Oreochromis niloticus: one gene and its partners. The protein of the gene in region 3 purifies or fractionates together with the protein of the main gene of each other region. This does not show direct contact. Links are inferred from orthologs where the notes say so. Each region holds a gene or a part of one and is shown on either strand. Other genes may lie near its edges.

Region 1 (5,920 bases), on a different chromosome or scaffold from region 3:
TGAGACTTGTGAACTAGCTCGGCTCATAAATCTCTGTGTAGTGCAGTAGAAGCTCTGAAAATGCTGTAAATCTGTCTCTATTTTAGCTTTCTAAGAGCAGCATTTGAGGAAAAAAGAAACATGTTTACACTTCACTGTGCTTTTTCAACCATGGTGAAACTTGATTGTTGCATTATGATCAAATTTAATGCTAAATGTGTATTTATTGTCTACCCTGACTTTTGCATATGAAAGAAAATAAAACTTGTTACTTTTATAGTCTGCCTCCCCCTTCTTTTTCATTTCAAGCAAATCTCAAAGAAGTTGCATTAAACACAACACGGCTTCACACTCTTCCCGGATTTCGGCTTCCCTTAACTGGAAAAATGTTCTCCATCTATTAAAATGCGGAACTTGTTACATCATCCTGTCACGTCACAAACATGCAGATTAAAACTGCAAGAAGCCCTTAAGAAGCTCACCATGGTTCATAGTCTGTTTTTATCTATTCCGAATAACCTTAAAGGGCGAAGCTTATATAAAATACAATTTATTACAAAGTATCAATATCATGGGATTCAAAAAAGTGAAAATCCCAATTTAATACAAATATCATATAAACAAATTTGCACTGTGATAACACAAATAACAAAGACAAGTTCAAAAACATGTTGCAGTCCGACACAATTGAAGAAAAGACGGTTATTATTTCAATGTCCATCCGGTGTTCCTGAATCACGCCACCTCCACTCGCTTCCTCCATACTGCGTGCATACAAAGTCTTTTAGTATCATGATGCTTTGGGCACATCAAACATGCAGAGACTTTTATATTTCTGCAGCAGCTGGTTCTTCGTGCGGACCTGTTCCCGCAGCGTGGCCAGCTGCTGCTGCTGCTCCAGCGGACTGCTGTCTATCCCCGGCATGTTGGAGATCTGCTCCCGAGCCTCCTGGATCTTTGCCTTTAGTTTACCAAGTTCTTGGAGGACATCCTGGTTGTCTTTGTCCATGCTTTAAGCAAATGGGGAAAAAGAAGAGGGCGTCATCCGTCTGCTTTGTTATTGCAGACACTTAACATTTTTAGCTATCGACATTAGCTTCAGCTAACACAGCAAACAAGCATAGCAACTCCACCAAGCGACTGACACAAGCAAGTGTTGCCCCGCGCATACAGCACACAGTGTGACAACACACGAACCAATAAATACTCTTACCATTTAATAATATCATGAACTAAAGGCAGCAGAGAGCAGTCATCGCTCTCTTTGTCAAGCTTCGCCTGAGCTGTCGCCATCGCTCTTCCCCAGCTTCCCGACGCAGATTGTTTACGTCAGGCACAAACCTGATGACGTCACTACACTCGAATTGTAAAAAACTAATAGAAATATTTATTTCTGTTCATTCGACCTTTTCGCGATATAGTGCTACATTTTGTAATTGGGTGGATACGCACTGTGTACTGTACGTATTTTCTTCGTTTACCTGGATCAGGGGTGTAAAACATAAGACCAGAACCGGCTGGCAAAGACTGCAATCCGGCCCACTGGATGCTATAAAAAGTGTGAATGAGTGTATATTTTTTTTGACTTTTAAAGTTATTTTAAAAACTTTTGCATGCCCCCCCCGCGCGCGCCAGAATAAATACATAGTGTTTTACACATTTACATACAAATTTTACACTTTTGATACATTTCTTTCATTTACTACAGCAGCATTTCTAAAACTGTTAAAGTCGCTCTTCTTTTTCAAATATTAAGATATCGCTGTGATTAAATGTGCAGTTAATTCGCTGGTAGAAAGGTTCACCCCACTTAAGATAAAAGTGGGCTGCATGTGGGCCACAATATAAAATAAGTACATTCTTGACCTGGAGTTCATAAACAAACACACACACATTTACAGAAGGTATTTTTGCGTGTTTTTTTGCTATACAAGTCCAGGTTGTGTGTAAAACTCATGAAAATAAAGTAAAAAAAAAAAAAATAAGTAAAAAAAAAACAGGACAAAGAAGAAAAAGAGCAATGAATGAATGAATGAATGAATGGACATGCAGACTACACAGGTAAAGTGAATCACACTGAAAGACAAAATAGAGGAGATTAGTTTTTCATTAAAATGTTTGAAATAAATAAATAAAAAGGCAGAATGAACATTTTGTCATTCCTTTTGCTGATTTAGGCTCTCTTTTGCGCACCTAACGGACTATGAAAACACAAAAGGGAATTTTGACCTCAAGAGATATAGGCTGAAAAAAGCTGAGGAAGAAAGGATGTCAACATCATTTTTCTTTAAAGTGTTTTCATTGAATTCATTACACAGCATCAAGGAAACGAAGGTGCTGTATTCTCATCTTGAGCCTAAGGTGTTAAAGTGGCGGTTAGCCTAAAGCTAATTAGTAGGGCTAAAAATGAATACAATTTGTCCTTCTTGTTACAAAAAAAGTAGAAAATGAAAGTAGCACATTAAGGGTTTTACAACATACATCTAAGATTTCCTCAAATAGATAACAAGAGAATACTAATCCTCTTGTTTCTCTGTCTCTCTCAGTCATTTTTAAGCATGTGTGCCATGAGGTATTTGCACAGGCCTAATATGAATTTCTATTTTAAGAGAAACCCATGAAACCTATTTTTTTTTTCCCTACTGTTTATGCTAAAAACGTTCCCCGGGTGTTTTTTTATTATTTTGAATGAAACCCACGACAGCACGCACTGGCCCCTAAATAAGCCCCAGATAATCCATTAATACACCGAGCAAACAAAGCTGACCTGCAATGAGTGGGAAAATTTGCTTCACATCCCAATACCTAGCAACCTGAAACATCTATATCGGCAGTAAATGCAATCTACTATCCCTACAAGTGTGACACATGTCATGCATGTTGAGTGAAGCATGGCAACCCATATAAACTTTGACATGCACAAATATAATCTAATGGACTACAATATGTCCTACTGCATTTATATTTTACAGATAACTGATGTGGTGTATTCAGGTTATAGAGATTAATGCAGAATAGTGGCATTCGATAAACCTAGAAAACATGATGTAATCAATACCTTTTTTAAATAAATTGTCATGGCTGTGCAAATATAAAACTAATCTGTCTTGTCTTCCCTTCCATTGACCCATATTCCTGGGAGATTAGTCACCAGCAGGTCTCTGTGTTGGTCATTAGCCTCATTGGCTAATGACCAGTGACCAACCTGATATCTTCAATGATTCTGCAAGAGACTCATCTAGTGTTTAACTAATGATAGAAAAACGAGTTAATAGAGACCCTTGATAAACAACATCACAGCTCATAATCTGCACTTAGATGTAATTAAGAAATTTGTGGTTTCATTTAAAAAACAAAAGCTCAGTAGTCTATGCTATAGCTGGTTAAATTATGTGGAATCAATTCTATCTCTTTATCTGATCTTCTAAACCCTGCTGACCTATATTTTTCATGGCTATTTGTTTTCATCAAAGCTTAATTTCAGCAGCTGCTCCCTTCCTCTTCCCTTGCCTGGCACACTCATTACCCACACCTAGTAAACACTATAAGGAAGCATTCTCATTAGTCACTGCAGCAATGAGACCACCTCTGTGACACAGCCAATGAATATTTAAGATCATCTTTATTAAGATTTAACTTCACATTTAGATGTGCAGCTGAGGAAACATTTTCTCTCATGCCTCACACTGTGTGGCATCACTGAAGATCCTACCAGAAGCTCAGTCCTCACACTAATTTCCAGTATGACAGAGTGTTACATACTGCTCAAACTTACATGAGTTAGTACAGGTGACCTAGATTGAGTTTGTAGGGCATTATGTTCCCTAAGTGTTTTACCATTGGGTCATAGGGAAAGCTCTGACACCTCACATTAATACATTTTAAAAAGCAGGTCATTTTGTGACCCAGCATTATTAGAAAGGTATGAAAATATCCCAACGGCTACAGTAGAGAGAATAAATATCACATTATTATATGAACACAAGAATTTAGTTCATTGACTTTATTTGACTGAACATTTTTTATTTGTGGTGTGGTCTGGTTTTTAGGCTTCTTGAACATTAGTGACATCGTCTTTAGTCCTGTTCTTGATACTCAAGTGACTATTCATTCGGAGAAAACAGTGACAGTGATAACATTAAGTGAAAAGTATGAAAAGCATTCAGAAATGAAACATTTTAATTATGATTTATATTTTGTTTTATTGTAATTGGCCTACTTTGCATAAAACTGCAAAATCAAATACCTGTTGTCAACCCCTCGAGGTGCAACTGAAAATGTTAAGAAAATGTTAATACATTTAAGGAAAATCCATGTTAAATATTTATTTTTTTAAATTATGGATTTTAAAAATGCTTCTGTAATCAATCTAGTCATCAGTTTTCTTCTATTTATCCAGTTTAAGGCTGAAGCCTATCCAAGCTGCCAAAAGGTGAAATATGGAGTACCCCCTGAATAGCTCACACTCTACTGCAGGGCTAACAGAGAGAACAATGTGGCAAATTTAAAATCACTATTAATGTAACCCCATGCATGTCTTGCATGGACTGTGGGATAAGGCCAAAAAACCCAGAGAGAACCCATGCTGACGCAGGGAAAATGTGCAAATTGCACACAGAAAGGCCCCAGCCAGCCAGTGGATTCAAATCCAGGACTTACTTGCTGCCAACAGCACATACGAGTCAACAGTGCTGGGGCGTGCTTCTTATGCTTATGTAATATTTAGTGAAAATGTCAGTGGCTCTACTTTTAAGTAAAGTGCCTGAATGCCTGCAGAGGTACTGAGGTTTTAGAAAATATCACAGGTAGTAGTGAAGGAATGATGATTTGTATATGCAGTCACATGTGTTCTGTGAGCTCTAAACATGACTTTCAGCTCATAGATCTATTCACACTTGCATGATCCTTCATAGTTCTCAAAGATCACAGTTCTCACATCTAATCATCTCAACAGAAATAGGCAGAAGAAGGGAGAAGTCAATTTTCAGATGGGAGGTAGGCTGAGGTTGATATTTACAGTTGTCCTCTGTGAAATTTCACAGAGGACAACTGTAAATATCAACCTCAGCCTACCTTTAATAAACATTACTGGGAAGGATATACACTCTTTACAGTGTATATCCTTCCCAGTAATGTTTATTAAAATGGAGTATGCATTTACGTGTTTATGGTTAGCTATTCAACAGAAAAAACTCTTCTAAGTAGTTCTTCTGTTTTGTTTTCTGTTTGGTTGTTTGCTTTTTCTTTTTTTTTTACACAAAGCTCCTATTTTATTTCTTACTTGAAATTTCTTGAGAAGTATTCATATCATCATACTTCAAAACAAAGTGTGATTTATTTATTTTCTAGCTCTGAACATAGGTTTCTATGCAGGAACTTCAGCAGTAAAAAACCACTTTGCCCTGGAAAATATCTCATGTGGAGCCCAGACTAAACTTGTGATTTATAGCTAACAAGGGAATTATAGATAACTTTTAAGCCTGGGTGACTTTAGGATGTTTCCAGTTGAACCCCTATATAGCAGTCCCCGAGTGGCTTGCCTTTCCCCACTCAGCCTCTGTAATGACGTGAATGGGCAGCTGACAGTTTCCAACAGATGTGTCACCTCCCAGCATCTCTGACAGGATGCAGATGTCCTGTCTGCTAATCTGTGGTCTAATCTTAGCATGCATCTCTATATGAAAGACACAGTCACTGAAGCTGTGCATCATTAAAACAAATCGTTTCCCAATAAAATGAACTTCTCTTGTATTATTTAGATTTAGGGCAAAGTGAAAGTTTTATTTGACAAGAGATTTGCTCCCATCATGTGAATCCTGGTTTCATAAAAGTTTCTAGGAAAGATGCTTTCACAAAGTGTCTTTATGTGCACCAAAGAGCTAGCCAGTCAGCTGCTGGTCATAATCCAATCCAAATTTGCATTTAATTTAATAAACACTAC
Region 2 (7,141 bases), on a different chromosome or scaffold from region 3:
AAATAATTCCCTCAGAAGTTGACTTAGACCTAGTTCCTCTGGTGGAAACTCATGGAGTCCCTCCCAAGGTTCCCAGTCACCCGGAGAGAGTTCCTTTTTGTGGAAAACTGGCTAATGTCTCTGTTTGCTAGGGTCAATCTTTTCCAAGTGAACCAGGGGTTTGAGTTGTTCAGCAAAGCTGCGCATGTCCTCTGACACAGTGTCTTGTCCTGCAGGAGCCAACACACTCAGCTCCACCAGGTATGAAAGTGATAGATGCTCAGTGTTTTCTGTATTCCCTGGTACAAGTATGCGTGACAGCTTGCTGACCACAATTTTCATTGCACCTTTACGAAATATGTGTCCATTGCTGACAAACTCATGGTCCATGCGGAAGCCCATCTCATTGAGGAACTCCGGAAGGCTGTGAGAGGCAGCAACATCAACGCAGTTGCGTACCAAAGCGTGGCGACTCTTGTCTCCCACTTCAGATTGACCAAGGTAGCGTAGGTGCCATGGAGCAGTTGGGTGGGAGAGGGAACGGCGGGCACGCAAAATGAAGGGGTTTCCTTGCTGGCCTTTGAGAAGGTAAACCAACTCATGATCGGTAAAAGTCTCAGGTTCCATGTTGTCGCACAGACCTCGAAGGCGATGCAAGAGGCTTTCCAGGGCCTGGTCTAACACACTCCCTGATTCAATAAAGTGCACAAGGAACAAATACAAAAAATTACATTTGGCTAGGACTCTATACATATTATATTTATAAATATAGTCTCCATTAACATTTCTCAGAGAAAATCAACAGCTAAGAGCTCACATTTTAAACATTACAAACTCAAATCATAATATTTTTAGAGACATTATGGGCTTAACTATCTTAGATCGTCCATAGTTTGTACATATATAATGATTGCTTTGACATTTTTGCTTCATATATCAAATACCTCAAGGATTTTCCTTTAAAGAAAAAAAAAAAAACAACACATCCACCCACTTTCAGGGCACACGCAGTAATATTTTAAACCTAGTGTAAATTATAAGACAGTTCAGTAGGTCATGAAATACTCATTTTGATTTATTAAACTTATCTCAATAAATCAAAATATTTTTTACTGTTGTAATTAGAATACCATCTGAAACCTCCAGAATTTAGAATTTTGGTCTATTTGGGTTAAACTATGCATTACTATTTTTCGTTTTTGTGGTACAACTTCACATTTGCTCAATGCAGCATGAAATTTAAACCCCCCAAAAAAGATTTTTTTCATTTTTATAACTAAGAAATAATTTTCCATTTTGCATTATTGTGAAATTCAATTGTATACCATTAAAAATTGGTGTGCGTTTAAATATGACACTTTACAGATTGGATCTGCAGATCTGGATATGGAAATCATATCCTTTTCTCTTTATTATCTTTAACAGATATTTGTGTTCAAACATCTGGTTTCAAAGTATGACCAAAAAAAATGCTGGAAGAGGGTCAATGGTCCATATTTCAAAGAAAATATATCTTGAAAAGTATTTGATACAAGGTAAAATGTCACAGCAATCATAAATGGCCAAACTTTGGACCATACATTTTCTAAACAAATCTGCAATGGTCCAGGAGAAGACCCACAGTATTCTACAACAGAGTGACCAAGTTAAGAAATAAGGTTTTAAACATTGTAAATGCACCATTTTAAAAATTATTTGTAATAATATTATAATAAGAATTTAGCTGTTATTTGGGTCATGTGGGGCGATCGTGGCTCAAGAGTTGGGAGTTCGCCTTGTAATCGGAAGGTTGCCGGTTCGAGCCCCGGCTCGGACAGTCTCGGTCGTTGTGTCCTTGGGCAAGACACTTCACCCGTTGCCTACTGGTGGTCAGAGGGCCCGGTGGCGCCAGTGTCCGGCAGCCTCGCCTCTGTCAGTGCGCCCCAGGGTGGCTGTGGCTACAACGTAGCTTGCCATCACCAGTGTGTGAATGTGTGTGTGAATGGGTGGATGTCTGGATATGTAAAGCGCTTTGGGGTCCTTAGGGACTAGAAAGCGCTATATAAATACAGGCCATTTACCATTTACCATTTAGGAGCTAGTGCATAATAATTTAGGTCAAACGTGACATATGTAACACTGTTCATTCACTATTCACTTTCACACCAAAGGCTGTTGCTGATGTAACTTTACTCATTGTGCTGAACAGTTGCACAATGCAACTATTAAATGATTATTGCTGTTGCTTTGCATTTTTGTTACTATAAGCTACTATCTGTAGTATTGCCACTATCAGTACTATATGCTATGTATAACACTCAGGGCTTGTTAGTTATTTACCTGCTTACTTGCTTCAGCGGATGCATGATATCTTACCTTGTAACAGATACTCCATCATGTTAATTGTGCCCCCAGTGACAGGCATTACAGTAACAGGTGGCGCCTCCATCTTTCCTCGGGTACTTTGAGGTTTTTGGGCCTAAAGAAAGAAAATTATATGCAGATACATATATATACATGTCGGAACATCTGATGGAGCAATGCCATCATTAACAAAAAATTTCCACCTGTCGCCATAGGTAACAGAGTTTGTAACTTTTAGCTCGCTAATAGCCGGTGGTAACACTAATCTAAGTGTAACTCACTCGAAACAACAGTTTGCACTATTGTCTACGAAACCACGAAGAGCAGTAGCCGAGGAAAACCGGGTAAATGTTTTAAGTGTTCGTTCTCGATAACGTTTTAATACTATTGACCAAAGGCCTAAACAGGGTTCTAAACACACGGCTACTACTACACGGCTACTACTACACAGCTACTCGGTTTGCTAGTAGCTAACCGCAACATTACTTAAGCTACCAGGCTAAGCGTTTCAATGTTATTACAGAAACATTAAAAATATATTACCTTTCAAAAACAAAGAAGCGAACGCGGAAAGAAATAAACGTCTTTTTAGTTATGAAAGAAAAAGTGAACACAGTTAGCAACAACAATGAATGAGAAGCGTCTTCCTTTGGTGTGTCAAATCGGTAGACATCCAACTTTGAGGCTCATTACAGCCACCTACTGGTAGTGCTAAAAATATCGACAGCAGGTCATCTGTGCATAAAATAGAAAGAAATGGACATGGACGTCATGGACAGACAGGCTTTTTAGACTATAGGTACTCTGGTTTTATTAACACAGGCTATACGAATGGATTATCAGTACTGTGGAAACTATTACTGTTTTCACAGTACTGTGAAAAGTATATATTACTGAGCATTAAGTTTAGAGGTTTTATTGGCATACATACAGTGGAAATAAAAGCAGTAGTTTACACTTAATTTTGCCAATCTCTTGACACAAAACAAACATAATTATTCAAATAAAATAAAAATAAAGAATCCAGAAAATTTACAAAGATTGCAAGTATTGAAAATGCAAACACTAAAATTAGTTTTAAAAACAGACCTGAGTTTGAAAACCCGAGTTGTACCTGCTTTGTCCATATTTGCAAGCCGGTCTTTACAAATTTATGCCATAGCAGGTAATAATAAGTACACTAATAGTCAATAATATTGATGGGGTAGAAGAGAGGCGACACTGACTGTCTTATTCATGAGTCTGATTTGAGACTTACAGTCTTTGATTTCAGACTCCTGTTGCATCTACCTTTAGCATCTACCACCTACCTGTTAACTGGTGGTGTTGTGAGTTTGTGTTGTATTTAATGTTGATGTGGGCAATGCTGACAGCCCTGGTGGTGTAAATGTCTTATACTAATGAAAAGATGATCCTGTGATTTATTGTGCAGTTTTTCTCGCACACTGAAGTCTTCCTGTCTTGAGTAGTGCAGCTGAGCCCTGTCAGTCATCTTAGAAAGTACAGTCAATGTGCTCTTCACTACCTGCTGGGTGTTGTGAGACCAGGTGAAATCCATCCTCATGTGTGTCCTCCACCTCTGTCTTGGAGTGTCTTTTCCTCAGATCACCTTGCTCTTATCTACATTTAGGGCAAGATTATTTTCCTGACACCAGGCCACTAGTCATTTCACTTCTCTTCTCTATGCCATCCCTGCCAGTAATCAGCCCAATTACTTTAGTTTCATATGCAAATTTTATAATTCTGGTATTGATTAGGGGGATGCTCACACTCATATGTGAAGAGAGCATGTGGCAGTGGACTCAGCACATGCCCCTGAGTAATACCAATGCTCACAGTTCTGATGTTTGATGTCTGGTTTCCAACTCTGACTGAGTGGGGTCTATCTTACAGGAAGTTCAGAGCTCAGTTACAGAGAAAGGGTGTGAGTCTGACAGCATTAAATGCAGCTTCAGTCAACGAACAGCATTTTCACAGACGTGTTACTACCTTCTAGTGGACTGATTCTGTATGTGTGCATAAAGTAAAGAGTCCAAGGTAGCCAGGATGGTCTTTTTGATCCTTTCAAAACACTTCATCACAATTGATGTAAGTCCAAAAGGATGATAGTCGTTTAAGCATGTGGCAGTATGTTTCTTGGAGAGGGGCCCACTGGTAGTGGACTCAAAGCATAGGCAGATTGTATATGTCTATGAATGCACCATCCAGCTCTGATGAGTAGACCCTGAGTGCATGCCTGGGGATATTATTTGGGTCAGCTGCCTTATTTGGGTTTGTTTTCCTTAGAGCTGTGCACACTGCCACCAATGACAGATCGTGATGTAGTGGTTTGTCCTGTGTGTCATGTCCTGTCTGTCTCTGTTGGTTGGTGTTGTGGTACTCAAATTGTTTTCAATTTAGGCTATTCGGAGATGACTGCTATGAATACTGCCATTGTTATTTTAATTTAGGATTTTCCACCTTTGATTTTGGTGTTATTTTAGTTTTCAGGGTGGATTTTCTGATTTCAGTTTGGTTTTTAAGTGTTAAATGATAAGTTTGCATTTTATTAGTTTCTGTGTTGGTGTTTTTGTTTTTATGACGTGGGTGGTATTAGTGACATAGGTCAAATATAAGTAAAACAGTACAGTACAACACATTTGACTCACAGTCATTTTCACCAGAGCCTCCTCTTTGTGTTTCCATCTTTGACTAAACAACATTTCCTTTATATTTTTTTATTGTCTGTTGCCTTTTCAAACAACGCATTTAGTGAGTTTTGGTTTATTTCTTAAGACTATTTTTCTATTGTTTTCACTTTTTTTGTATACTTTACTTTGAATAAAACACTTTAACAAATAAAAGGATCCAAAATATTATTTTCAGTGACTATCCTCACCAAAATGTCCTCACAGTATGAACACACATATTTCTCACAGTAATAATCATACTATAACCTTTTATCTGCAGGGTGTTATTGTTTTGCTATCACTGATGATCATTATTGATTAACACTGCAGACGCAGCACTGCTGCGGTTTTAACACTTTTAACAGCCTTCTTCATGCAACCTTTTGCTTAGATGCTGTTTTACTGCGGTCATATTTTATATGGTGATTATGTAAAACCTAAAACTGCAAAGCAAAATACAGCTGTAAAATAAATTTAGTGTAATAAGTGTTTTTTTCTTTTAACAAAAAAATATAAATTGTTTGTAAATTTGTTTTAATTGCTGAGCTCGAGTAACTTAATGTACCTGATAAAGTTTCTCTTTGTGAAAGCAGCATTTAATTGCTGTAACATTTTGAGGTCAACTTTACTTCTTTACCTACATTTGTTTTATCTTAACTTGATCTGCAAGGTAACCAGAAACTGTGCTTTCATGCAGTTCATGAATGGACCTCACCTCTGTACTGAGCAACAACAACAAAAAAAATGTTGTTACATAACATCTGTATCACACTCAAAGCCTCTCATTAAAATTATCGATCCATGTACTTTAAAACACCCAGAATCAGAATCAGAAAGGGTTTTATTGCCAAATGTTGAGCAGGTTTACAACATTAGGAAATTGCTGTGGTACTTAGTGCAAAACATACTGTCAAACAACGCTTAAATAACCATAAAAATAAAAGTTAAAAGTGCTAAGTAAATAGATATATATATAGATATATACATCTGCCCGGCTTTCAGAGAATTAGGTAAAAGTTCAGTTAAAGATTCGATTAGAAATCATTCCTTTGTTGGAAAAAGAGACTCATGGTTTCAGATTTTCCCTTGAGCAACATGTGGGTGAAGTTACAATTTAAGTAATTTGAGGAATTAGTTACTAAATCAAATGACAGCAAGGATGGAAAGTATAATTCTAAACAGTGCCCTTTAATGACCTTACCTATTTTAACAGTCAACTGAAAAGCACTTTGGACCAATCCATATTGTTTTAAAATGTGCTATATAAATAAAAGTGACCTCACTTATCCTGGACCTTTTTTTCTCTATACTTTTATTTCACAATAAACACAATCACTAGAGGCCATGTGATTAATTCTTTTGCCAGGTGTCCTGATGATAATTGATGAATAAACCACTGAAGACTCCTCTTCCACCTGCAGTAAAAAGCAATAAATTTCATTACCCAGACAAAGCAACACGCACACACTTCATTTCTGCATGAGAGTTTTAGGTTACACCTCAATGTCAGCACAGATACTTACCCTGCTATTCAAGCCACAGCAACAATTTTGAACAGGAAATGCTTTGGTGAGACAGAAGCAGAAGTATATTCAGAATCATGGGGGGAAATTTTTCATGCAAACCATTAAAACAAAACAATGAAATACACAGGAAGTGGAAGTAAGGCGCAGCTGCATAGCCTACCTGAATGTAATCTTGATTTGAAGCAAAAAATTATAAATGCCATTAAAATGACACATGATACTGATATACCACAAATAAGTGGGATCCAGTCTTCAGGCTCTTTTTCAAAACCTGTGGAACCAAAAACTAAATATTATTATTTCTTTGATTCAGGTGTAAAAGGTTCACAAACAGCATATGGCTAAACACCCACCTGTTGTTGTGCTAAATGCGTTTGTGCTAAATGTGGGACTCATAGTAACTGTAGTGTATCCATCAAACACTGAATCTATATTGCACTTTAGGGACCCGTGTGAATGTACATGCACAGATGTAGTTGAAGTTCTGTTTGGATTATTGGATTTCATGCCGCACGTCACAGCACAAGATGCAGATGAATCCTTACTGTCATATACTGTAAGTAAAGATCAAAAGGTTACATCAGGTTATCTTCTACTATGAAACAATGATGTTTGTGTGTTAGT
Region 3 (7,482 bases):
CATTACATTCTATGATACAGAATGATGATTAAGTAAGCCTGGTATCTTTGTAATATCTACAAAAGGTCATGTGAAGGCTTTCCCCCCCTCTTTTTTATAAACAAAAAGGACAGGTGAGCAAAAGGAGGAAGGGAAAAAAGCCACACCCTAGTTCCCATTCAACTTGTCATACTTGTTTGATTACCCAAGATGAGTGTAGCTTACTGGTTTCAGTTTAGGCTTCGTGTTAGTTTTATCTGACATGCCCATACTTGCCCTACCTTAACACAACTACACACTTATCTAAGGACTGCATGTGGCATGTAGAGTACATGCCCATATTGGCACCTGAGACTGCCATTAATGGAAATTAGGTTAAGGTCTATTTGGGAAGACTTTCTGCATGTATGAGCAGGCACTCACCTGAGTATATAAGCTTCCTGCTTGTCGGTCTTTGTCACACTTATTATCAAACAATGCACATTTTCCAAAAGTTTGTCCCACTCAAACCTGAAAGAAAAAGAACAAGTTAAATGCATACAAAGACAAAGTTGTTCACTTTTGTGGTCATTTTAAAGTGGCACCCACTACACGAAAGAACTGTTGATGGTTATGTAACATGGACAAGTTTGGAATGCTTTCAGGATTTTGAAGAGAAATGTCTATGAAGCTTGCTGTAGTCTTTACGCTGAAAAAGTAAGTGCATATAACAATTTCAGTGCTAGAGTATGCTGTGGGCATACAATACTGACATATCAATGGAGGTATTGTTCAGACTGAAATGTGTTTTCAGTCATGTGCAGATGGCTGTAGGGAAATGTGGACTTATTCTGCTCCTACAGCAGACATACACCTTCTAGCAGCTGCCTCTGCCCCCCGAACACCACCCAGACAGCTGGGTCACATTACAACCTTGGAAGAACAGCCAGACCCACTCACAGTGGGGGCCTGGGCTGCAAGGCAAAGCTTCCAAGAGGTAAAGTGTTCGATGAAAGCATACCAGCAGCTCAATAATGAATGCTTTATGAAACTGGCTTTTCTAGAGAACCTCTCAAAAACAAATGCCCCTGAGTAACCAGACTGCAGCAGTATGCATGAAGGCTGTGGGCAAAATGCAAGACCCAATTATGTTCCTTTCTACCTTGTCAATCTACAAATGAACTAGATGACTGAGGAAAAACAAAAAAACAAATAACCAAATAACAATGCATCCCTCAGACATGGTTCTGAAGACACCAAATTCAAGAATAGTACAATTTACACTGCAGCCTTTTGCATTTGAGCCTAATGGTCCAAGAAACTAAACTACAAATATGTTTACTACCTTCCAGTGCCACAAACACTTCATCTAATCCCTTAACAACATTGTCCTCAGAGAGTGACAGGCTTACGTCATCTGTTGTGTACATCACTTCCTCCCCCCTCCCGGGGGGGGGGCAGTATGGTATCACTGAGTCAAATGTGCTCCAATATCAAGTTTCAAATAAGGTCAACACATGAACAAGTAATCAGTTTTCAACTTCCAGCTCTGTATACTGTGTGAGCCCAAAACACCACCAATATAAAAATCTGGTTTTTAGTTTGTGCATAAGAAAATTGTATAAAAGGATGTGAAGGATTTCCAAACTGCACGTCTCAGAAGACAAAGGTCCTGCACTGAGGACCAACATTGGAGCAAGATGATATGAACTCTAAATCATGCTATAAGCTACTCTAAATATGGAACTGCAGGCGATGTGCCTTTAAGATGGCTTTGTTATACACAAGCTTCTCTTTGGCATTGTCCTCAATGCAAAGACTCAACATCTTTAGTTTGCCATCAAGGCCAAGCCTGATGAGAATGGGAGCATATAGTGCCATCTAAACTCTACTTAATCATATTTATATCATTTGCAATGTCAACAGTGTATTTGGAAGATGAACAAAGGCATTACAGGTATGTCTGGATACAGTTCAGCTCGATCACTTCCCGCAACATGACAGAGCTGTTACGACATGCCTACTTCCCAGCTTCATACCAGAGGCCAAGCATTGGCAAGCTGTGTCAGCTCCTGCCTCGGTGTGAAATCGACACCAGAGGTTATTTCTAGCTGTGCAACAAGACAATATTTTCCTCAAAGAAAGCAAAGTGCCAAACACGATCAGAATTTTCATGTATCCCAGAGATTATGAACACATGGCTGATCAAGACGGCACATGTTGGAACAATTGCTGCTTATCAGACAGAAAAGTGGTCACTTACTGGATGGCTTGAACACCGGGAACACTGCATTTCAGGTGTTTAGAGGTGAATATGCTGTGACTTTATGAACTAGTCACTCCTACAATCACTGGAAGTGTTTCATATGCAGTCTGAACCCTGACAAGGGGCAGCAGAGGTAACGTGAGCGAGCGAGCTTCACATTTGTGAATCCGATGCCCTTGTGGTCTTATTTGGACATTGGCTAACGTCCATCGAGTCTGATCCACTGACAGTGTCCCTTTGAGCCGTTAATCTGCCCTCTGGCTGTAAATTAATGCCAGCTCTCCTTCACGCCAATGGTTACACACTTGTCATAAACCAGCCCCTGATGTGGTTAACGACCAGAAAAAGTCACCCATCGCTGGGGATGATTTGGCCCCCTTGAACCAGTCATGAAATGACATGCTGCCAGAGGGGGAAAAAAAAACAAAAAACAAAAAAAACACCACACTAAGCAAAGGCAACAGACACCATTGACACTTTCACTTACATTAAAGAATCAGTACCATTCTTACCTCTATAGGTGACATAACCCAGGCGATTTTAAACAATCTATTAGTTTTACTGGGACAAGTTCCTCTAAAGTCTTGGAAACAAAAAATTGATTACGACACACGGTACAAGTCTGCCTGTAAGGGTTTCTCCTCGTTAAAGGTTGTTTAAAACGTGCATTTCAAATCAGCTAATTTTCCTAGCAAGCAAAAACCGAATTTCTCACAAGAACTGAATCCACATGGATTTTTCAGAATCTATCGCCACCCCCTGTCCTTAAACGTAACCAAGTGCCCCGCGGCACAACGTAACAGGGAACCCTCTAACCAATCAGAGCAACTGGGAGCGAGCGCACCGCATGGCCGAAAACGTGACCGGAACACGACCATACGCAGTTTCTCTCTGGTTAAACGCACAGCGGTAACAGACATGGGGCCAGCCTGTAGTATCCACAAGGGCAGAGGGACGGGTTCACGGTTTTCCCCAATCACTTATGAGCCTTCAAAAGTAAAGAATTTATTTTTTTTTTTAAATTAAAGGTGGAATTGGAATACTTGAATCTATTTCCGTGCCAACAAGGCAACACGCGGTGACAACGGACGACCACATGTCTCACATGCCCCCCTCGTTGTAGAGTGACGCAGGAAAAAATAAAGCATATGTAATTACAAAGACCAAGCAATTTAGTGCATAAGAGCACGAATATATATATGTAGCAGTGAACGCGAATTGGCAAATAACGACAATATGATCGCCTCTTCACTAAATCACAAGCAGTCTGCACAGCGTCGGCGAAATCAGGAGACGGCTGACAATTTGAATATTTTTTCCTAGGGACTAGCTTGCGGTAGCTCTAAACTGGTTGCCATGGTGGCGTCCAAGCCTCATGCGACAAATCAACTTGCAAAAACAAGCGATGGGAGCCGAATATATTAATTACCGCAAGCTCCCAGGGTGAAGAATGAATGACTCAGCCACTGTTAAAAGGGGGAGGTGGCCATTTTCCAATGGCGACGTTAGCTAGCTCCCTAGCTTAAGGAGCCACGGTTAGATTTGGTTCACTTCAATGCTTGCAGTCTATCCAGGGGTGGATTAATAACTATAATGAATACAGTGTCAACGGAAACGGGACGTGTACGATATTCAAGTTGTTATACATCACAAAAAGTGACAACTGAAGCCGTGCATGTAGCCGGTGTTTCTGTCAATGTACCAATACGCTGCTGTGGACTGACACTGCCTCGGAGATACTCAAGTGACACGAACCTTGGGATGGTACGGAGGTCTCCGTTTCCTTTGGTCTCATCCTGCCGAGAGAACCACACCTCCAACAGCTTCTCGGTCCCCTCGAAGAAATGTGCACCGTTATCTTCCATCGTGAGACAACAGACACCCAACAACCAAAAATATTACAACGTCGTTTAAAACGTTTACAGCTTAATTACTCCTTCCTCGACCTGTTATTATTTAGTGAGGTTCAGTCCTTTAAACAATCCAGGAGTTGATTTGCTTGAGTTACCGTCTTCCCTTTAGCAGAGAATACCGTTAGCGAGCGCTAGCTAATATCGCCGGCCATACTGTGTAAGCGCTGAATGGAGACCGCGCGGTGCTTTTATTTGGCAGTAGCCCTACGTAAGCCTCACCTCGAGCCAATCTGAACGCAAAGCCATATCTTGGGATTTGTGATTGGTCAGAAACCTATCAATTATAATAGAAGGCGGGTCTTCCGCCATGAAACTTTTCCGCCTGCATGTAGCTTTCCTCTGGAAATAAATACTAATTATATATATAAACAGCAACGTCAATAACATTACATGATATCTGAATTTAAGTTTACGAAGGCGAGTATGACAGTTGACGGCATGTTCGTGTAAAAGTCCTTTTCTGACAAGTTTTCTTCTGTTCACGACGATTACGTAACTGCGTTTTTTTCTAACACATGCCATTGTGTTTACTTATCACATTAATGTTTCGTTTGTACGCTCTCTCTTTTTTAAGATGTGTAATTTGTTTTTTCACTTAATGGTACTATAATACTAATGTTAAACTGCGAATATCAAATATAAACCACTTAAATGAGAATATGACCAAGTTGTTAAATTGGATTGAACTAAACTGGACTGCGCAGGTATTCATTTTAGCAAAAGAGTGTACTCATAGAAGGAAAATAGGTGAAAGAAATCCCAAAGGATAATAAATATCTACTGTATGTGTTACAGGACTTACTTGTCTCATCTCATAGTATTCAGGGCAGTGGGAACTCACACATACAATTGTCACCCAATATAATTACAGTAATTAAGTATGAATCACATACATATGACATGACATCACTACATCTGCATATACAGGTGTGTGTGCATGTCAAAAACCTATCGATTATTATAGAAGGCAAGGGTCTTCCATCATGATGTTTTGTTTTTTCATAACCTGTATTTATGGAAGACATTTCATATCTTTACCGCTGTAACTGCACTAAACAATTTTCTTCTTTTTCTTCTTTTTGGCTGACTGTAGTTCACAAAAGTAAAAAATCAATCTGAATCTCAAAAGAAAACTGTCATGGTCTCCGTGCCTGCCCGACCGGCCCCACAAGGCTACAAGTTCTCTCTCTCTCTCTCTCTCTCTCCCTCTCTGACTGGGCGGAGCTCACTGTGGGCTCCCGCCCTTGGCCCACACACCTGACAACAATCACCTGTCATCACCGGGAGCACTATTTGAGGCTGGAACACAGATTCTCTCGTCGCTGGATGATTGTACTACAGACGTTAGTGTTTCTCACAGCTCCTGTGAACCTGTGCTTAATAATTTGAGATTCGTGATTAGTTTGTGACTTCCCTTCTCTTCTGCTTCAGACCTTCCTCCTCGGACCTGTGACCTCCCTGCCGTGTGAGTGTGGGCAAGAAGACGTGAGAGAGCTACCCTGTGATTCCCTGGAGTTTTGGATTCCCTTCACTGTATATATTGTGCACTGGTGCTGTAAATAAACTGTTTTTGGAGACGTCAAACCGCTCTGCCCCTGAGTTCTACAACCAGATTGTGACAAAAATTGTGTCTTAAAAAGAGATGCAGCGACCTCTTAAACCCTTAGATGCTTATCAGAAAAAACAGCAGCTAAAATAACAGTTAAGAAGTTGGAAAACTCATATTATCCCCCGAAAAAACAACCCCCAAAACACCCAGGATGTTTGCAAATATTCTTAGGTTACACATAGCACTTGATATCTTTAAACAATTTGTAATAGATCCCATACCCTTCGGATCACATTTAGTTTGGTGGGAAGTGGTCACTCTAACTATATTAAATAAATACACTGCATAAATACACATTTGTTCGGCTTTTGCAATACCATTATTATTACGACCATTAAATAATAATAATAATCCAGCCAACGAGGATCCGTTTAGCTCATTTACATTTTACGTGACGTTAAAAAAAGGTAACCTCAAACCACCGACGGCCGCATTTTTGAAGAGCTTTCATGAGTACGCAAAGTGCAACAAACAGCAGCGAGAAACGCGGGTTGTAGTTTGCCATAGCTTGCCTGACAACGCGGCGAACTGCGGCGCCTGCTCACAAGAACTACCATACCCAGCGAGCCACGCGCGCCAATTAGAAACGTCAACGAGCCAGTGAACATTAAGCGGAGCAGACCAAAATCCCAAACAAGGAAATGGTGGGGGAATAAAACGACCAGATTATTTAATTAATGCATGTTATAATTAATATTTTATTTTATTGTAAATTAAGGCGTATTTATGGGTTAAAATGGATTACGACTTCAAAACAAAGCTGGCGGCCGAGAGAGAGAGAGTAGAAGATCTGTTCGAATATGAAGGTTGCAAAGTGGGTCGAGGCACCTACGGGCACGTTTATAAAGCTAAGCGCAAAGACGGGTAAGATAACCGTGAACGTTATTGTGTATGCTGACATAAAACTGACCGCGGGATGCATTTTGTGAACACACGCCTCGGTTATGTGATGAACAGGGCGTTCGATTTGAAGCTCCCCGAAGCGATAGCCCGTGTCTCTGTGTTTTTGTTTTCATGTAACGCACTCACTCACCAACGGTCCCCCCCACCTCCTCCTCCGTCCCCAACCTCACAGCTCCCCCCTTTCCTCCTCCTCCTCCCCAACACCCCCAAACAACAGTGTAAAGCCGCGGTGCTGTTTATTTTCTTACAAGTGTCTTGTTGGCGGTCGCAGCAAAGGTAGCTTGCTTTTTGATGCACGGGTATCGTCACTTCGCGCGATAGTGACACCTCAGCGTCTTTTCTTGGCCCCGCTTTCAGCATTGTGGAATGCCAAACTTTTTTTCTCCCTCTTTCTGACACACATTGTTTTCTTTCTGTCATTTGCTGCTTACACTCACTGACAAGCATATGACAGCGTGTGACCACGATGTATATATCAGCAACAGAAAGCAGGACAGATACGTTCTCACATTTCTGCTCTGCTGTGCCAACGGTGTCACTGTTCCTTATGCAAACTGGCAAAATCCCAGTCCAAAAAACTGGCAAAATCCGGCCAGTGCGCATCCTATTTGAATACTACAAGTTTCATTTGTACGATAGCCAAGTGGTTAATCACTCTGATCTAAAAATTACATTCAAGAAAAGCACCGTTAACCAAGGGCACAGTGCATTAAGAGCTGATTTTGCTGCCCCCGTCTTACAAATGCTTTGTCATAAAGTTTTCTCGAAATCTGAGATGGAAAAACTAATTTTAAGCATTAGATGAACTTATTATACAGATGGCCCAATTTGAC
Region 4 (6,587 bases), on a different chromosome or scaffold from region 3:
AGCAGCAGGTAACAACACACCCAATAAACAGAGGGTCCAGGAGGGCTCTCTCTCTTTGTCTGTTGTGTCGTTGTCTGTCGCTTGTGCTCAAGGCTCTGCAGCCTGGGGATGCTTTGCTTTGTCTTGTTGCTCTGCTCTTTTCCACAGGATCTGTTTTTAATAGTTCAATTTTTAAATTGGATCTAAAAATAGAAGGATTGCGTTTCCTTTTAAAATGTACATCATGAGCCACCCTCACTGAATCACTGTTTAATGCTCTGCTGTAGAAGTGATGATGGAGTGAACCTTTGCTCTGACAGAAAAAAGAAAAGCAAAGAAAATCCGATTTATTTTATTTTACTGGCCGTGATAGAATTCTCTTTGTGATGAAGCGAGATCTTCTTCATGTGACCTGCATCAGACCACCTCCTCTAAGAGTCTCCTCCCACCTTTCCTTCACATCAGGATATTTCAGGTCAAGGAAAAGAGGTTAGGAAAAGGATGTAGGAGGTCATTGTTGTTATTGAGCTGACTAACACAAAGGAAGCCTGCATAACTTTATTGGTTTCATCAACACGCAAACAGAAACAAACTCTTCACATTTCAAACATTTTATTAGAACAAAGGATGAAAAAAAGGTCCAACCACACCCCTCTCCCTCAACTGGACACTCAGGTGATCGCCGCAGGTAAAAACATGCCCCATCAGGCAGGAGCTCACTCTGCAGCTGGTAGGACCTGACTGAGCAGCAGCACTTTAAATTATAACCTCTGCTGTCTTATCTGTTTCGGTCTCTTCCTGCTGAGACCATTGGACTGACAAGTTCCAGGAAATAGCCACATCCATAAATCCAGGAGAAATTTTAACTTGAAAATTGCAACAGGAAGGTCAAAGCTGATGCTTCCCATCAGCTGATCAGCTCCCACCTCAGTTCCTCCCCTGCAGTCTTTAATGTTCATGTGAATGGAGAAATAACCTTGGCATCCCAGCAGCGCTCCAACTCCGTCGTCACTTTGCGGCGGCGTTGCCGTGCGGCGGGGCCGTCTGCGGCTGCGCTTGCGTCTGCTCGGCGAGTGCCTGCTGCAGCCGCATGCGTTTGCGTGAGTAGTGCTGCCAGTGCAGCAGCTGCTGTTCGTCAATGAACTTGGCGCACTGAGCGTTCACCAGCTCCTTCCTGAAGTGCTCGTACTGCAGCAGCTCCAGCATGTGCAGGCAGTGGGGGTACCTGCAGTGGGCGGAGTCACAGAGCAGAGGTCAGCTGACAGAAGGTTGACAAACATCACAACTTTACTCTCACACAGAAAATTGTCTAAACCAAGAATCAAACATGTCGCCGTACTTGAGGAACTTGGCGTACTCGGGCTCCTTCCAGTACAGCAGGTACTTCAGGTAGTTGATGAAGGATCTGTCCCTCAGGATGCCTCTCTGAGCCAGAACTGGAAACACAAACACACAAAATCTCCGTCAAACTCTGGCAAACGTGAAGCTGCGAGAGTTTCTGATCACAGCATCACTCACAGTTCAGGTAGTTGGGATTCGCCAAACACTGGACGAACTCAAGCTCCAACTGGAAACGGTTCCTGGCCTGCTCCTCTGCACCGGGAAGCACACGAGTTAATCAGTAACACGACATTCAAACCCAACAACACCGATTATCTTGAGATCATCAGGAGCACACGTGTTTAATTACAGTAATAATGTCCCAAAGGATTCAATTCACACTACACACACGCCAACATAACACAGCCATGAGAAAGCATGTTTTTATACCAGACTCCATTAGAAAAAATAGCAATTTAAAGACACATTGTTTTAATCCACCCTGAAAACTTTAAACAGGCAGTTTGGAAATTAAATTTAATGTAACGGTGAATTATTGAGAGCCGAATTAAAGCGCGAGTCTCAGAGTACAGTCTTCAGAGTCCATTCCCGGTTATCTTCAAACACACTCACTTAAGCTGATAAATCAAGTTTGTTCTTAATCTGAATAATTTCTTGCGACGTAGTGAACAGGACAGAAAAGACCGACACTTTGCAGCCTGACTTAAAGCTAATCATGAGTATACCAACGTATTTAACAACACATTGAACCACATTTAAAAACAACCAAACCTTTGCTCCCTTTAACTCCCTTAAATAAAACCAGTAATCCCAGCGCCGCCAGACTCCATTAAAAAAGTGACAATTTAACGCCGCTTTGTCGGTTTGGGAAAAGCCTCGTTGTCAAAGTAGAAAAACAAGATAGAGCACATCTAAATACCATCAGCTGCTCACAGACAGGCTTTTAAAGCCAACAAAGTAAAACTTACGGATTTATTGGTGTTTTGTCTTGCAGGAAATATTAGCCTAGCAGATTAGCATTGATCAAACAATCTGCTACAAACCTGTTTCCATGGCTACAGCCTGAAGGCACCAGTAAGTAGATGAAGGACTTAAATGTCAGATAAACTGTCTAAAAATGTTTAAAAGGCAAAAATAAGAAAAGAAAGCCGGGTTTTGCTCTTTTCAGGTTTAATCGCTGCTATCAAACGTGTGCAGACTAAATGACGTAAAACTTCCGCCGTCTTCGCGACATCTACGTCGCTTTACGCCGCCTGCTGTTCGTTGTTTGGCCGCCAGAGGGAGGCAACAGACGACAAGAAAAAAGCTCCTTCAAACTACCACAAATAACTTGATTACACTTATGTAATAATAATAATAATTTATGTGAGCGCAATATTCACAGGATAACTAATAATAATAATAATAATAATAATAATAATAATAATAATAATAATAATAGTAACAATTTTTTCATGCACAGAAAAGCACTGAAGATGTACTTACTATACTGATCAGGGTGCAGTCAGATGATGAGAAAACCAACTAATGTGCTAATACTGTGACTGTGATCATGTACTATTTCAGGTCACAGGTGACCTCTGTTCTATACAATCCTTCAAAACATTTTGCTACTTATACACAAAACTAAGAACCTTTCTTTTTAGATTTTGTATTAGTATAAAAAACAAAGCACAGCTTTCTTCAGTTTGAACACATATTGGCTGTATATGTCTTTGTCAGTGTAAAGGTTCTCTCCTGTTTACCCTCTAAAATATGTTGGATGTTGTCCTTGTGTAAACCGTCACACGCAGAGTCTAATTTTCACCCCTGCAGAATCTCCAGGTTTGGTGCTCAAAGATATATAAAAGTCTGCTGGAAGTTTGCAGAAAGTTACCCGAATGCTTTTCACCCCTGCAGAATCTCCAGGTTTGGTGCTCAAAGATATATAAAAGTCTGCTGGAAGTTTGCAGAAAGTTACCCGAATGCTTATCAGACCGTCAGCACCAAAATCTTCCAGTCTGATGAAACCAAAGTTCAAATATTGTGACACAACACACAGTGATATGAGTGGAAGAATACAGGCACCGACTGCAGGGATGTGGGGATGTTGTATTTTAACATAGAGCGAAAAACAAACGCAGAGCAGGATCATTCAGTAGGACAATACCCCAAAGCACATCATCATGAACACAGGAAGGCTTGGACTGGCCCAGCCAGAGACTGGACATGAACCTGATAAAGCATCTATGTAGAGAGCTGCACCTGGCAGTCACTCAATCTCTGCAGCCAACATAGCTGAGCTGAGAGGTTCTGCCAAAACCAATAAGAGTGACAACAAGAGTGACAACAAGAGTGACAACAAGAGTGACGTCCTAGACTAGACCCTGTCACTGCTTTCAAAGCAAGTGCAGAGTGAAAAGCATGCCCACTAATATTGGACACTGCTAATTTAATGTTTAGTGGACATTTGAAGTGGCAAAAGAATCATTTAATTATCTAAGTAAATCATTTTGTCCAAATCACATTTTTCCTCCCCCAGATAAAAGTTGCAGCTAAAAGTTTGACCACTGGGGGGCAGAGTTTCACCTGGATGTGTGTTGTTTTAATTTAAAATTCTTCTTTTTAGTCTTATCCTCAATGTCAGTGTCCTGCTCTTCAGCCACATCGATGCACTGCACCATTTTTTGGTACAAACGGCATGAAAGTGCAGCCTGGCATCAGCTGAACTTCAGCTGATATCACTTCAATATAAAACTTAGATGTTTTTGACATAAAATCCAAGCTTCTGTTTGTTTCTGTTCAAACTTTAGTTCACTTTGGAAGATGTTCGTTTAAAAAAACCCAGCAGAATTTACAAAAAGTGCATTTAAAGATCGATCTTTATTAATATGAAATAAAACTGTTAACAAGATGGTACAAAACATCACATATGTACAGAACACACTCATCAGCTCGCATAAAAACTGTGTTATTATGTTTAAATATAAACCATATAAAATGTGAAGCATATTTACTAATTACGCTAAAATAATTCCAGTTCACAGGGAAAATAGTGGTTTCTTCATTGGGAATTTTCCCAGTCAGTAAAGTTTTGCTGCAGCTCTTCTAGAGTCAGTCCTCCAAATAAAAAACACAGAACAGCGAAATAATCACAAAGAAAAAAACTTCACAGCAATCAGGAAGAAAATTATAATACAGTATCCTCTGCAGAAGAAACAATCTCATTAACATAAACTGAAACAGAGCCCTGTGGCACACCTGCTAACAAGCAGTTTCACACATTTATGATGAGCAGATAAATATCAGGAGCAGCAGTTTTTCTTATTTTACTTCAAACAAAAAGAACAATTTTATATGACATTGTTATTACAGACAACACTTTATTAAGTGTTTTATAATCATCTTGTTTAGGTCCTGTTTTCACCCTCTGTTAAACTTTCTCCGTGTTTCCATGGTTTACTCACAATGTGCTTTCATCCTTCATCCTTCTCAGCTTCTTCATCTTTTTTGATGCCTTTAAAAAAATAATATTACACTCCTGACAGTACAGCTTTCTGAAGATGTTTCAAATTAAAAGCCTGTGATGTTTTTTTTAATTTCAGGTTTCTTTCAGCTGTTAAATGTTCATCAATGTCATTCAATAGTTCTTTTTTTTATAATTAAAGGGGCAACAAGAATTTGAATGTTTGTAGTTAGAGTCCACAGTCCAGCTCATTTTAAGAATCCATTTAAAACTTGTGGACTTGGAATTGTGCATGAAGCTGTTGTTGTTTGGCACTAAGATTGCTTTAAAGACACTATGAACAAATACTAAAACCTGCACTCTATGTTAAACTGTAACCTCAGTTTGTGTGTATTTATTTAACACCATCATGTACAAACATATAAAGGTAGATCTAGTTTTTCAATCCACCAAAGGTAACGTAGACTATATTCCTTGTATGTGGGAGTCCATTAATTGCCATTAATGCTACTCTGTAGACAGTTTACTAGAACGTGCACATGCACAATGACACAAACAACAAAATCAAGATGATGTTTCTGGTGGCTCAGAAAGTGCTGCAGCACGAATATAAAAAACAAACTCCTTGCAGGGAAATGCCCAGATGCTGGAGCTGAAAGATCAAACCTGAAAAAGTTTTTATGTGCATAAATAAAGATGTGGGAGGATGTTGCTCCTATACGGGTGCAGTGACGTTGGCCCATGAGGGGAAAGTGTCCAGAGAAAACAGGACCCGACCCCAGCTGTTGATGGCCAGACTGATGCAGCCGATGCCGATGATGTTCATCACCACACCTGTTTTAGCCTGTAGGGGGCACAGTGGCAGAGGAAGAGGAGGCTATGATGACAGAATGAATCAGAATGATTATTTCTTTCCAACTGGAAGAAATGAAGAACTCACCATGTCGGACACTTTGAGGAAACCGGAGGAAAACACAATGGCATTAGGTGGGGTGGCCACCGGCAGCATGAAGGCGAAGGAGGCGCTGAGGGTGCAGGGGATCATCACGTACAGAGGGTTCAAGCTGATGGACTGGGACTGGGTCAGGAAAAGGACAACAGAGTCATCAACTTTACCGATAAACTGGCTTCAATGGCTTTTTTTCCTGTTACATTTCAACACTTCCTGTTCAGATGTATCATAATAAACGTCTGTCAGTGGCTCAAAGGGTGAAGCTCCTTCTGTTCTCTGTCACCTTATGATATGAAACATCTGTAGGAAGTGCAGCAGCTTGTACTTCTACTGTATGCTGATGATAATGAACTGTTACATCACACTATGCATATGTACAAATACAGTCTGTGTTGCCTGTGTTTTTGGTACCATGGAAGCCAGGATGGGCAGGAAGAGAGTTGCTGTTGCAACGTTGCTTGCACATTCAGTGAAGGTGGCAACGAGCAGGCAGAGGATGATGGCGATGGCCCACGGAGGGACTGAGTGGAGCGGCGTCATCTGATCACCGAGCCAACGTGACAAACCAGACTCCTGAAAAACCGACAAGAAAAAGCAGGACTTCAGTCTGAGTCTGAAAGCAAAGGTTTCTCTTTACTATTAATGAAAACTCGATCTGGTGTCTTTACTTTTCCATATTATATAAGATTTACTTAATCTCATTAAACCATCTGCACTGTGCCCATACAGAGCAGAAGAGTCGTTTCGTTTTCATTTACTCACAAAGTCTTAGTTGTGTTATTCTCTTGGCTATCAAAGTGTATTTTTAGTTTATTCCTTCTACAAATATCAAAACTAAGGTTGCATAAAAGAATTTAACAGAAGGCCGCC

What was found.
Region 1: the proteins of cdk19 (region 3) and med9 purify together in Homo sapiens (affinity purification with mass spectrometry; 7 studies listed by BioGRID and IntAct, counting the BioPlex papers as one, with this or other methods). This does not show direct contact. The link is inferred for Oreochromis niloticus from reciprocal best matches to the Homo sapiens genes CDK19 and MED9.
Region 2: the proteins of cdk19 (region 3) and med18 purify together in Homo sapiens (affinity purification with mass spectrometry; 5 studies listed by BioGRID and IntAct, counting the BioPlex papers as one, with this or other methods). This does not show direct contact. The link is inferred for Oreochromis niloticus from reciprocal best matches to the Homo sapiens genes CDK19 and MED18.
Region 4: the proteins of cdk19 (region 3) and med31 purify together in Homo sapiens (affinity purification with mass spectrometry; 6 studies listed by BioGRID and IntAct, counting the BioPlex papers as one, with this or other methods). This does not show direct contact. The link is inferred for Oreochromis niloticus from reciprocal best matches to the Homo sapiens genes CDK19 and MED31.

Annotation. Positions count from the first base shown.
Region 1 is NC_031969.2:20,679,922-20,685,841, forward strand, and holds med9 (mediator of RNA polymerase II transcription subunit 9), read right to left. Parts: upstream 1,353-5,920; 5' UTR 1,273-1,352; coding exon 1,193-1,272; intron 990-1,192; coding exon 770-989; 3' UTR 514-769; downstream 1-513.
Region 2 is NC_031976.2:26,228,921-26,236,061, forward strand, and holds the start of med18 (mediator of RNA polymerase II transcription subunit 18), read right to left. Parts: upstream 3,024-7,141; 5' UTR 2,866-3,023; intron 2,841-2,865; exon of another isoform or gene 2,604-2,840; intron 2,438-2,603; 5' UTR 2,408-2,437; coding exon 2,335-2,407; intron 669-2,334; coding exon 112-668; 3' UTR 1-111. Other genes in the region: uncharacterized protein LOC109204220, read right to left, coding at 6,296-6,406, 6,515-6,555, 6,678-6,788, 6,871-7,071. UniProt on the Homo sapiens protein: Component of the Mediator complex, a coactivator involved in the regulated transcription of nearly all RNA polymerase II-dependent genes.
Region 3 is NC_031980.2:31,094,402-31,101,883, forward strand, and holds the start of cdk19 (cyclin-dependent kinase 19), read left to right. Parts: upstream 1-4,455; 5' UTR 4,456-5,480; intron 5,481-5,568; 5' UTR 5,569-6,482; coding exon 6,483-6,610; intron 6,611-7,482. Other genes in the region: amd1 (S-adenosylmethionine decarboxylase proenzyme), read right to left, coding at 403-489, 3,980-4,089.
Region 4 is NC_031975.2:31,352,677-31,359,263, forward strand, and holds med31 (mediator of RNA polymerase II transcription subunit 31), read right to left. Parts: upstream 2,555-6,587; 5' UTR 2,374-2,554; coding exon 2,364-2,373; intron 1,573-2,363; coding exon 1,498-1,572; intron 1,416-1,497; coding exon 1,319-1,415; intron 1,205-1,318; coding exon 988-1,204; 3' UTR 523-987; downstream 1-522. Other genes in the region: slc13a5a (solute carrier family 13 member 5a), read right to left, coding at 5,481-5,609, 5,706-5,843, 6,129-6,290. UniProt on the Homo sapiens protein: Component of the Mediator complex, a coactivator involved in the regulated transcription of nearly all RNA polymerase II-dependent genes.